3 linked regions of the Alligator mississippiensis genome follow. The main gene of each other region encodes a partner of the protein of the gene in region 2 in a complex. Links are inferred from orthologs where the notes say so. Each region holds a gene or a part of one and is shown on either strand. Other genes may lie near its edges.

The links.
Region 1: the proteins of TOMM5 (region 2) and VDAC2 are in contact, whole or in part, in a cryo-EM structure (PDB 9EII), measured with the Homo sapiens proteins. The link is inferred for Alligator mississippiensis from reciprocal best matches to the Homo sapiens genes TOMM5 and VDAC2. Residues at the interface, in NP_001001790.1 of Homo sapiens: Ile25, Arg29, Leu32, Ile33, Ala36, Arg39, Val40, Phe43, Ile44, Lys47; in NP_001171752.1 of Homo sapiens: Val38, Thr60, Gly63, Asp239, Tyr258, Gln260, Thr261, Leu262, Leu268, Leu270, Val286, Leu288.
Region 3: the proteins of TOMM5 (region 2) and PINK1 are in contact, whole or in part, in a cryo-EM structure (PDB 9EII), measured with the Homo sapiens proteins. The link is inferred for Alligator mississippiensis from reciprocal best matches to the Homo sapiens genes TOMM5 and PINK1. Residues at the interface, in NP_001001790.1 of Homo sapiens: Met1, Phe2, Arg3, Ile4, Gly6, Leu7, Ala8, Lys10, Leu11, Asp12, Pro13, Glu14, Met16, Lys17, Arg18; in NP_115785.1 of Homo sapiens: Gln484, Ala488, Gln491, Ser495, Lys496, Pro498, Val502, Lys520, Leu522, Lys523, Leu524, Met527, Glu565, Cys568, Gln569, Ala571, Leu572, Leu573, Cys575, Ser576, Trp577, Ala579, Ala580.

Annotation. Positions count from the first base shown.
Region 1 is NC_081829.1:27,930,459-27,934,212, reverse strand, and holds the start of VDAC2 (voltage-dependent anion-selective channel protein 2), read right to left. Parts: upstream 2,673-3,754; 5' UTR 2,670-2,672; coding exon 2,576-2,669; intron 180-2,575; exon of another isoform or gene 80-179; intron 1-79. UniProt on the Homo sapiens protein: Non-selective voltage-gated ion channel that mediates the transport of anions and cations through the mitochondrion outer membrane and plasma membrane.
Region 2 is NC_081826.1:147,975,218-147,978,144, forward strand, and holds TOMM5 (mitochondrial import receptor subunit TOM5 homolog), read right to left. Parts: upstream 1,958-2,927; 5' UTR 1,844-1,957; coding exon 1,690-1,843; intron 1,121-1,689; coding exon 1,086-1,120; 3' UTR 504-1,085; downstream 1-503.
Region 3 is NC_081836.1:5,554,761-5,558,514, reverse strand, and holds the start of PINK1 (serine/threonine-protein kinase PINK1, mitochondrial), read right to left. Parts: upstream 2,612-3,754; 5' UTR 2,598-2,611; coding exon 2,331-2,597; intron 382-2,330; coding exon 106-381; intron 1-105. UniProt on the Homo sapiens protein: Serine/threonine-protein kinase which acts as a sensor of mitochondrial damage and protects against mitochondrial dysfunction during cellular stress.

The sequences.
Region 1 (3,754 bases), on a different chromosome or scaffold from region 2:
GGGCAGAAGGGGGTGAAACAAAATAAACCCAGGACTTCTTGGTTTTGCTTTAAAATCTGGTCATTGCATTTATTTTTAGGCATACACAGAGAAGTCAGGCTGCACCTAGGAGCAACAGGAAGGAGCTGTAGGGAGCTAAACCAGAGATCACTAATAAACATGTAGTTTAAGGATTACAAGCTTGCCTCTGGCCTGTCTTACTGCCACCCTCCTTCTCACCATCCCTACTGCACAGTTCTCCCTCGCCTCCAGCACCAAAAGCCTTCTGTGTTAACTGTGTTAACCCTTACACCTCGCTAGCACCACGCTCTGGATGCCCTCCTACGCTGTCCTGATTTCCCACCATGAAAAGTGGGTGCCCTGATACTGCTAGTGCACTTACACATCATGTAAGGCAGATGTCCTCAGTCTTTTCTGGAATGTGTATATATTCTGGCTAGGATTCTTCGCTTACAAGTTTTAGTCCTAAATTACCATAAACTGTTAAAGAAAATCAGGATGCTGACAAAACAAAAAACTTTTTGCAGCGATTCTCTGATGGCTGAGGAGATCCCTTGTGGAAAATAGCTAGACGGAGTATCACACGACTGTTCTGCAGCAGTCAGTGTAGTGCAACGTGCCTTATGACACTCCTTACAGCTGAAATCATTGAGTCACTAGTGCAATAGTGGGCCAAAGAGCAGTTTGGCAGTAGGGTATGAAGTATTCAGCACCCATAAAGTGGCATGCAAAGACATGCCTCAATGCAGTTTCCCCTTCCAACAGAAATGCTTTCACCCCCCAAGCCCCCACAGATTAGTACATTTAGACACAGAAGATAAGTATTGTATAGCAGAAGTTAGGCGAATTCCTCATGAGAGAACATACAAAAAGAGGGAACGGAAATTGGGATGAAAAGGGAATGAGAAAAATCAGTATGCTTTAGTACTGGTTGGACTATACATTAGAAATAGGGGTCTTATTAAAGTAAAATACTGATTGTTGCCTATAACAGTCCATTGTTCAAAGCCATTATTCATTCAGAATATATTTATATAAAATGGACAATGTACCTTCCCGAATTCAGAACTTAAAACTTTAGTTATGTTTTGGCATCATTTTAAGGAATCTAAAAATACAAGTAATTACCGCCCCACCCTTATGGAACAATAATGAATCATCTGGCTTACTAGATGTTATATACACTGTATCTGAAGAAAGAACGCACACACTCCCTTGTATCAACATGCTAGCATAAAGAGATCAAAACCCTTCAACCACCCCTCATTGCCTAAATCTCCAAGAGAAGGGGATGGTCACTGGAGCTACAGTGGTGATATGCCATGAAAGGAAAAAGTACATAAGTAGGTAGCCCTCTCAGAGTTTGGCTAGTTCTGATACCATCATTCTGTAAATACTCACCAATGTGTATACGGTCTTACTTTTGCCTCAACTATCTTTACCATTCACACATTTCCTACAGCCTGTATTTCTTAGTCAGCACCACTTTACATACACACACTGCAAGTCTTTGTCAGGGTGCACAAGGCTGCTGTCAGTGAAACCTGCCTGGGTTTGGTGGAAAAAGTGATCACAGAAGCCACATTGTAAAGTTGATATGAAAATTTACTAGCTTAGTCATAAGGTCTGCATATCCATCATGCTAAGCATGTAAAACGAAGCTGGAGTTAAAGTTGAATACAAATATAATAAATTAACAATAAAGCACTAATTCAAACTTGCATTTATCAATAATCAAGACAATCCAAAGGCAAGAAAAAAACCCCACCCCAGACACCTAAAAAACCCCACAGAGCTGTGTGGTTAAGATGGATCGCAACAGATGATCTGTGTTAAGAGCTTGTCAACCACCTCAGCTGCATCAAGTTAGCTACAGATAAAAAAATTAAACCAATTTAGTTAAACTGGTGCAAGAGAATTTATTTAAACCAGACTTCTTCACTTTAATTTAACCCAATTGGGAACAGATTTAAGATAAACATTTAAAAAAAAAAAATAAGCGTCTATTCAGGTGTTTGTACCAGTTAATTTGAACTGGTGCCAATGCAGATGTTGCCAGCCCTTCACAATAACAGCAGCAGATTTTTAAAATGTTGTAGGTCATCAGAGTTTTGGGAGTAGGAAAGAGAAGGATTCAAGGAACAGAGTGGCTGCAGGAAGGCCTAGAGCTCTGAAATTCTGCATCCTGTCTGAACTGAGGGAAGTCTCTGTGCCATTAGTTTTATAGACATTAGGGCTGGAAGGGACCCCGTGAAATCATCGGGTCCAGCCCCCACCCAAAGGGCAGGAAGTCAGCTGGGGTCAGATCATCCCAGCAAGATAAGCATCCAAGTATTTCTTGAAGGTATCCAGAGTAGGTGCTTGCACCACTTCTAGGGGAAATCTATTAGTTCTGGAGAATCACTTTGGCTCTGTAGTAAGTACTAATACTGCTGCTTACTGTAAATTTTGCTTGCTTCTTTTGTATAAGTATGGGCATGATCCATTCTAATTGATCCTATTGTAGCAAAAAGAATGAGAAAATAAGAAACTTCAGAGAAGAAGCTAATAGCCAACTGGGGACACACATACTTACTTTTTCTCTTGTGTTGTTTTTTTTTTTTACTTAACGACCGATTCTTTTCCTTCTTCTTTTTCCTTTCTAGTGAGATCTCCATATCCCTTAACATTCTTCCCTATAGCTTAGAGAACAAGCATAGTAAGTACTGCTGTGCTGCAGCTCTATAAAACTCTAGGGATTCTAAGCTGTCTACATTGGTAAGACCTTGCCCCTTGTAGGAGGAGCTATTTTAAGGCCTTTTTGAAGAGGAAGGACACTCTGAGTCTTCTGCTTTTAAAGGGATCAAGATTTTCTGATAACAAAATATAAGAGCTTTCAAATAACTACATGTAAATATATAAATGCAAATAGAACTCTCTTGTCAAAACTGAGCCTGGTTCAGAGAAGCCCAGGTTCCCTAATTCACTGAAGCAGAATAATGGAATTTGCTATAAGAAATGTGTGCAATGGCTTGCACCTGTGAGACCAGTCAGCAAACAGAAGGAGTACTTCTCACTCCTGCTGTACTATTGGGAATTTCCCTCTCTTACTTCTGTTTGAACTGCATACATACTAGCCATGTTCAGTTCTTTATTAAAAAGTAATTAATTAAGCTTCATATTGCCTTCTTGAGATATTACCCCCATTTTTCAGACAAAAAAACTGAAGAGAAGAATTTCAGATCTCTAGGTTCTCAAGCCTGTGTTTTAACCATGCCTTTTGGTACTACTTTGTCTAATACAACTTTCTGTATATATGGATACTACACATCTGTTTTCAGTGCCTACACCCCGCCCCCTCTCCACATGGGGTAAGAACTGGGTATATGTTAGATATGCTAATGAATTTAGCTGGTTGCAACTACCATTAAGGCAAATATGCCATAAGATGTCTCCCAAATAATATAGGAGAAATAATAGAATATATGGCATGATTAACTGTTGGGACTTGATATTTGTAATGTACAGGCTATATGTTGAAGGCTCATATGAGTAGGAAGTAGCCATGCAGGACTTCTGAAACGATGAGTGTAAACCTTCCCTAAGCCTCCAGTTGCAGAGTTTTGTTTTCTGGCAAGACCACTGATTTTTTTCATAAGAGAGCAGAGCTCCCCTTACTTACTGTGTGTCTCTGTGGTCCTACGTCAGAAGGCACTACTACTTCAGTGAGACTTCTCCCTGCAGAAAATAGGGCTGAAAGGGACTTCCAGAGATC
Region 2 (2,927 bases):
AACCAATCACTATATTTGGGGTCAGAAAAGCATTTTATCCCAGTCAAATAAGTATGGATTGTGGGGGAGTGTTGCCTTCCAGTGTAGCATGGGGCATGGTCCTCTTCCTGGGATTGTTCACGTGCGCCCCATAGTCGAGCAGGGGGGTTGCATAGATTTACAACTAAGTTAAACAAACACGTATATAAATTGATTTACAAACAGATTCCTCCCCTGAGCAGGGGCTATGAAGGGTCCCCCCTTCCAGGCATGCTTTTCTAGGATTCTTTGACATAGGCCAGGAGGTGAATTTGGCAGGTCACCTCCTTTCTCTCCATCTACCAACTACGAGTATAGTCTACTTACACTGTAAACTCTGGAGGGCATGAACTGTCCTACACGGAAGTACGATGAGTGCTCCTTGCCCTGCCAATTTCATTCTCTTATTTCTCTCAATCTGTTTGCAAGAGGAAAATATGTTTAAAGGAGACAATGGCCCAGAGTAAATACAAGATCCCAGGACATTTATGGAACTGATTTTATTAAAAATAGAGCACTACTGGACTGTGCCTGAAATAACAGAATTGTTCTTCCATTTTATTTCAACAACAAAAATCCATAGGGAACTGGATTCAAGTTAACAGCTTCTCCCCGGTGGTTTTACTAGTTTCAGGGTTCAAACCATTTTAATCTTCACATGGAGACAGGATCAGTAAGATTGACAGCCACAGCTGTGATATTTCAGAGGTAGCTCCAGAACAGTTTGCTTACATTTAACACTTTCTAAAAAAAATATGGAGTTCGATACAATTTTTAAACATACAGTATGAGTGGTACCAACATAATCTTTAAAAAAAAAAAAAAAGTTGTATGCAGACACACAGGAGCACTGTGTGACCTCGAGTCAGCTGCAGGGATAATAACCATTTTTCCATACTTCAAGCTAGGCTCCTGTTCTCAAAGTCAAATGTTTAACATAATCATTTTCCAGATCCATTCCACAGGTGAAGTCTGACCTTGGCACCACGCTTCTTAAAAGGGAAAAGCAGCCACTGTCCATTTTGTGTTTTCATGTACCCAGCCTCCTCTTTGCAGCTCTTCTGTATTCATATACTATCCAGCTTCTTTAAGATGTAAGGAGCTGAAAGAGACAGGACAGCCAAGATATAAACTAAGTGCAAATGAGCAGGTTTATAAACAGCTGCAAGCCCTGGGCTGTGTGCGCACTGCAACCAGAGCCCGTGGGGCAGGACTTATCTGAGCAGTGCTGCCAGGTGTACAATAATTATCATATCTGTATGATCATTCCAACCCTTGTACGATGTACGATCAGTAACTGTTCAACACGCACGATAATTTTGAGGCAGCTCATCGATGCAGCACATGTAAAACCCACGTCACTCTCAAGGAGTCTTAACTGACTTTTGGGTGTGCTGCCAACCCTTCCTTGTGAGCTCACCTCAAAATAAAGAAATGCTTCAACTTGCACGACCCCGATCTCACTTGCTCACTGGCCACATACAGTGACCGATATGGAATCAGTAGGAAGAGGCTTATTGGCAGGGTATTTTCAGCAAACACGATCATTTGGGGACTTCCAATACGATCGTTTCGTACTTAACACCTGGCTGAGCTACACAGGAGTTGCCCGGGCCAGGGGGGCAGCAGCCCCAGGCCGAGCCCCGCGCACGTGGCCGCGCCACCCCTTACCGACACGCAGCAGCGCCACGTAGATGAGGAAGTTGCGGACTGAGGTGAGCACATCGCGCCGCATCTTCCGCTTCAGCTCCTCCGGGTCCATCTTGGGCCCTAGCCCCTCGATGCGGAACATGCTGCTGGCGGCGGCGGAATCGTGCCGGGTCATACAACTCCGGCTCGGCAGAGCGGAGCTTCCTTCCGGGGCTGAGGCACGGCCCCGCCCACCGGCTACGGGCACGGAGAAGGGGCACGCCCCCGCCCTTCGCGCCCGACGCAGGGCTGGGGCGTGACGGGATCAGAACGCCGCCAACAGCGAGCATGCGCGTTAGTGTCGTGAGGCTGCTGCCCTCACCCAGAGTGGGGCGGGGTTGCGTGGTGACGATCCCGGGTGGTGGCAGGGGCAGCGTGCGCCCTGCCACTGCGCTTGCGGGGCCTCTGCAGGTGGGCTGTGGCCTGGGCTGCACGTGGGGCACTTTGCTGCGCAGGGAGGAGCGCCAGGCCCGCGCCCCAGCATTAGTACTAGCCCTGGGGAGGGGAGGGCCATTCTTGGTGCCCCAGAGCCCGTCCAGCCGCTCTGTAGTACAAAAGCCTTGCCCCTTTATTTGGCTGAACAGGATTGCAGGGGGTGCCTGCAGTAAGGCAGCCTGCGGCCTGGTTCATATCGTTTAGCTCCCGTCACCCTTGAGTTATGGCCACCTGATGTGCAAGAATTGGTGGGTTTAGGCAGATCCATGAAACGGGGCTGTGTAGACGCTCCTGGTCAAAGTCAGGCTCGTCTGGGGTTAGTTTAAGTCAAGGAGGAACTGGTGTGCTCTGCCCTGAAAGGCACGTAGGAGCTAAATGAGCATGTGCCCCTGGGCCTGTGCTGGCTTTAGGAGTTAAGAAGGTTACAAAGTGGTTTAAACTAGGTTTAGATTTACACTTTGACTCTTCGGGGGGGGTCTGCAAAAAAAAGTCTGGTTCATGGATTAAGAAGTATACCTAAGAGAAGGAGCAAACCAAACAGAGGCGCCCTACCCCCTTCCCCAGGTTATGGTTTTGAAATCTTAAAGGGGGTTCTCGGCTTGCCCCCCCCCCCTCTGCCGCTCCCTCTTAATTTGCACCCTGGTTTAAACATGCTCAGGAGCTTCCACCTGTCGTCAGGTTGGGCCTGGGTCTCTGTCTGCACCCCAAAAACCTACCATCCTGTGTACATCCAGTACAACCTGGTACAGCTTGCCCCAGTATGGATGCAGCTCTGCAGCAGATGG
Region 3 (3,754 bases), on a different chromosome or scaffold from region 2:
ATTAAGCATGTGCATAATAATTAAGAGCTTTCAACACATCGGTGGTTAACATTTCACCCAAACTTCACAAGTGACACACTAGAAGAATAAAACCTACTTCCTTACCGAAATGTTCCACATCATTTTGATTGCTAATGGGAAAGAGGTATTTTGCTGGGTCGCTTGTGTAGGGTTTTCTTCGGCAGCCTCAACAGCCGAGCCATGGGCCCGCCGTGGATCCGGGCCCCAGCCGGAAGTTAAAGGAATCGCTGCTTCATAGACAGCTGCGCTGCATCCTTTCCCAATGGGCTGGCCAATGCGGTACTCTTCCAGTTTGAAGCCCTGCCAGCGGAAACAGCTCAGTGGATCTTTCAGCGGCTTGTTCTTCCTGACAAATATTGTCTGCAAAGAATGCAAGAATTACTCAATAATTCAAAAAGCAGAGCTATTTTGCTACGGAAGTTACAGGGTGTGCTCAAGAGTGTTCATGCCAGGACCCATACTAAAAGGTCAACACAGTTGTCAAATGAAAACCTTTACATATTCCAGCACTTTAAACTAGAGCCTACTGGAGCACAGAAAACCCAATCCACAAATATCAACTCAATCAATTTGGACATTTCAAATTAGCATTCAGGAATAAAGCAAGCATTTAATGATTGGTGGTACTCTTTGCTTCTCTAGCATCCTTTCTTTATTAATGTTAACCCTCCGAGATCTTTATGTCAACCCTCCCACTAACCTGGTGGGGTTATTATCCAGTTTAAATGTGGTCACAGCCAGGTCTCGAGAATTGCTTGTTGGTAGAAGGGACCAGAGGTGTAGGGGCTTTCTGCAACACCTCTAGGACTACAAAAGTCCTATGGCAAATGCAATTATGTTGGCATGAAAGTGCTGGTTGTAGCCAAACACTTTTTTTTTTTAACCAGCGTAAGTTATGTCTAACACTGGGGAAATTTTACTAACTATTGGGGCAAATCTTTTACTAACTTATATGGGGGTTTGCCCAAAATTTCACACCCAGTCCATTGCAGAGATAGAAAACAAGCTGAATAAGGGCTTACGACCACATTGCAAATATGGAATACAGACTTTCTATTGAAGTACACACACAGCTCACTACGCCAAGTTATATCGAAAATACGTTCAAGCTAACTGACACTCCATCACCCACCAAGTCTTTTATCGCAGACAAGTCTCAATTTGTAGCGTAGACAAATACACGTTTGAACACAAGAGGGGGAAAAACACTTGGTTCATCTACACGATAACTTCTGCAGAGAAAGGTGGCGAGATCCCCATAAAAGAGGATTTAACGTTGTGCTTACCTCCCTCTCTGCACAACTCCATAAAGTAATGTTTAAAAGAAAACCTGATTAAGAGGAAAGGCAGATGGACTAAAGAGGCCTGGAGCTTTATAGCAGCTGAAACTGCCAGCTGGTTAGTTAGAGGAGGGAATCAGCGAGGGGAAAATGAGCAGGGATGGATCTAGAGAAACATGGAAAGAAGAGGAGGTGGAGGGTGCACAGAATCAGAAATGAAGACGATGCTAAAGAAGGAAGCGTGCCTAAAAAAGGCAAGGGAATAAAGGTCCCAATCCTGCAATCAGAGGTGTGCAGTTGGATGTGATCACAGTCTGGGCCCCGCCAGGCTCACAGTCACACTAGTGATCTCAGAGTCACGGCTGACTCCAAAACGAACAGGAGTCGTCAACGCGATGAAGCCATCACGAGCAGGTGCAGGGAGGTGACACTTCCCCTCTGTGCAGCGCTGGGCAGACCACAGCGGGAGCACGGCGTCCAGGTCTGGGCGCCACACGGCACCGCACCGCACACGGGATGCAGATAACCTGGAGACGGCCCAGAGGACCGCTCGCATGGTTATGGGCCTGCAGGTTAGATCCTACGGGGAGAGACTGAAGGACTTGCATCTCTGCAGCCTCTGCAAAAGCAAGCTGAGAGGGGATCTTGCAGCTGTCTACAAATTCACAGGGCAGCAAGGAAGAGGAGACGCCCCTTGCAGCTGCTAGGAACAACGGCCACAAACTGGCGGGGAGCACTTTTGGATGGACATTAGGAAAACATTCAGCGAGTGTTGCCAAAATGAGCTTCCCAGGGAGGTGGTGCACTCTCCCACCCCGGGGGCCTTCAAGAGACTGGACAAGCACCAAGCCCAGGGCAGGGGCTCGGACTCCATGACCTGCCAAGCTCCCTTCTGACCCTAATAAATAAAGAAATAACATCGGTGAAATCTAGTTTAACTAAAGCGATGAAGTAAACGCGAAGGCAGGAGGAGCGGGCGGGGCGGGGCAGGGGGGAGCAGAGGGGACAGGAGCCCGGCCCGGCCCGCACCTGGATGCGGCTGCAGGCGCCCGCGGCCCGGCGCTGCTCGTCCAGCCCCTGCTGCAGCAAGGCCAGGCCCAGCGCCAGCCCCGGCCCGCGGCCCAGCCCCAGCCCCAGCCCAGGCCTCGGCCCCGGCGCCAGGCCCCGGCGCGGCGGGGCGGGCGGCAGGCGGCGGGCGGGCGGCGGCGCGAGGAGCACGTGCCGCCGCGGGCCCCAGCGCTGCACCAGCGACCGCCACAGCGCCGCGCCCCGCCACAGCGCCCGCCGCACCGACATCGCCGCTCGCCTGCCCCCGGCCCGGCCTCGCCCCGCCCCGCCCCCCGCTGTGACGTGTGCGGGGCGGGGCGGGGCGGGGCCCGACGGGCTGGGCGTGGAGCGAGGTGGGAGGCGTGTCAGCACGTGTGTGTACACGTGTGCGTGTGTCTGTTATTTTTATATCTATCAGAGAGAGAGATATAGAGATATACATAATATATATATAAAATTATATAAAATATATATAAACAGATATGTTCTATATATATATATATATATATATATAGTAAATACTATAGTACTACTATTTATAGTAGTACTATAAATATATAGTATATACTACATATATAGAATTATATATATAATGTATATATATTTATATATATAATGTATATATTTATATATGTATATATATTTTATATATAATTATATATTATATATGTATATATATATATATAATTTATATATTTATATATATACTATCTATATTATATATAATTATATATATCATGTATATATAATATATATATTTATATATACACTCTAAATTTTATATAACATATAACACACATTTTATATATCTAAAGCATATTATATATATTATATATCTGTGTGTGTGTGTGTGTGTGTGTGTGTGTGTGTGCAGCCCCAGCCAGGCAGTGTCAACTCGGTTTCCTTGTGTGCTTGTCGTGCACATCAGGTGTGCGCAGCTCTGTGTAGCTGTGCGGGCTGTGCAGGCTGTGCCTGTGTTACTCTGCATTGAATGCTGCTCTGTGTTACTACAGTGTGCACTGTGTGTTGCGCTGTGTCACTGTGCGCGCCGTGCACTGTCCTGTGTGTTGCGTTGTGTGGCTGTGTGCACCGTGCACTGTCCTCTGTGTTGCGCTGTGTCACTGTGCTCACCATGCACTTCCCTGTGTGTTGCGCTGTGTGGCTGTGCGCACCGTGCACTGTCCTCTGTGTTGCGCTGTGTCACTGTGCTCACCGTGCACTGTCCTGTGTGTTGCGCTGTGTGGCTGTGCGCACTGTACACTGTCCTGTGTGTTGCGCTGTGTGGCTGTGCGCACCATGCACTGCCCCATGTGTTGCGCTGTGTCACTGTGCGCACCGTGCACTGTCCTGTGTGTTGCGCTGTGTGGCTGTGCGCACCGTGCACTGTCCTGTGTGTTGCGTTGTGT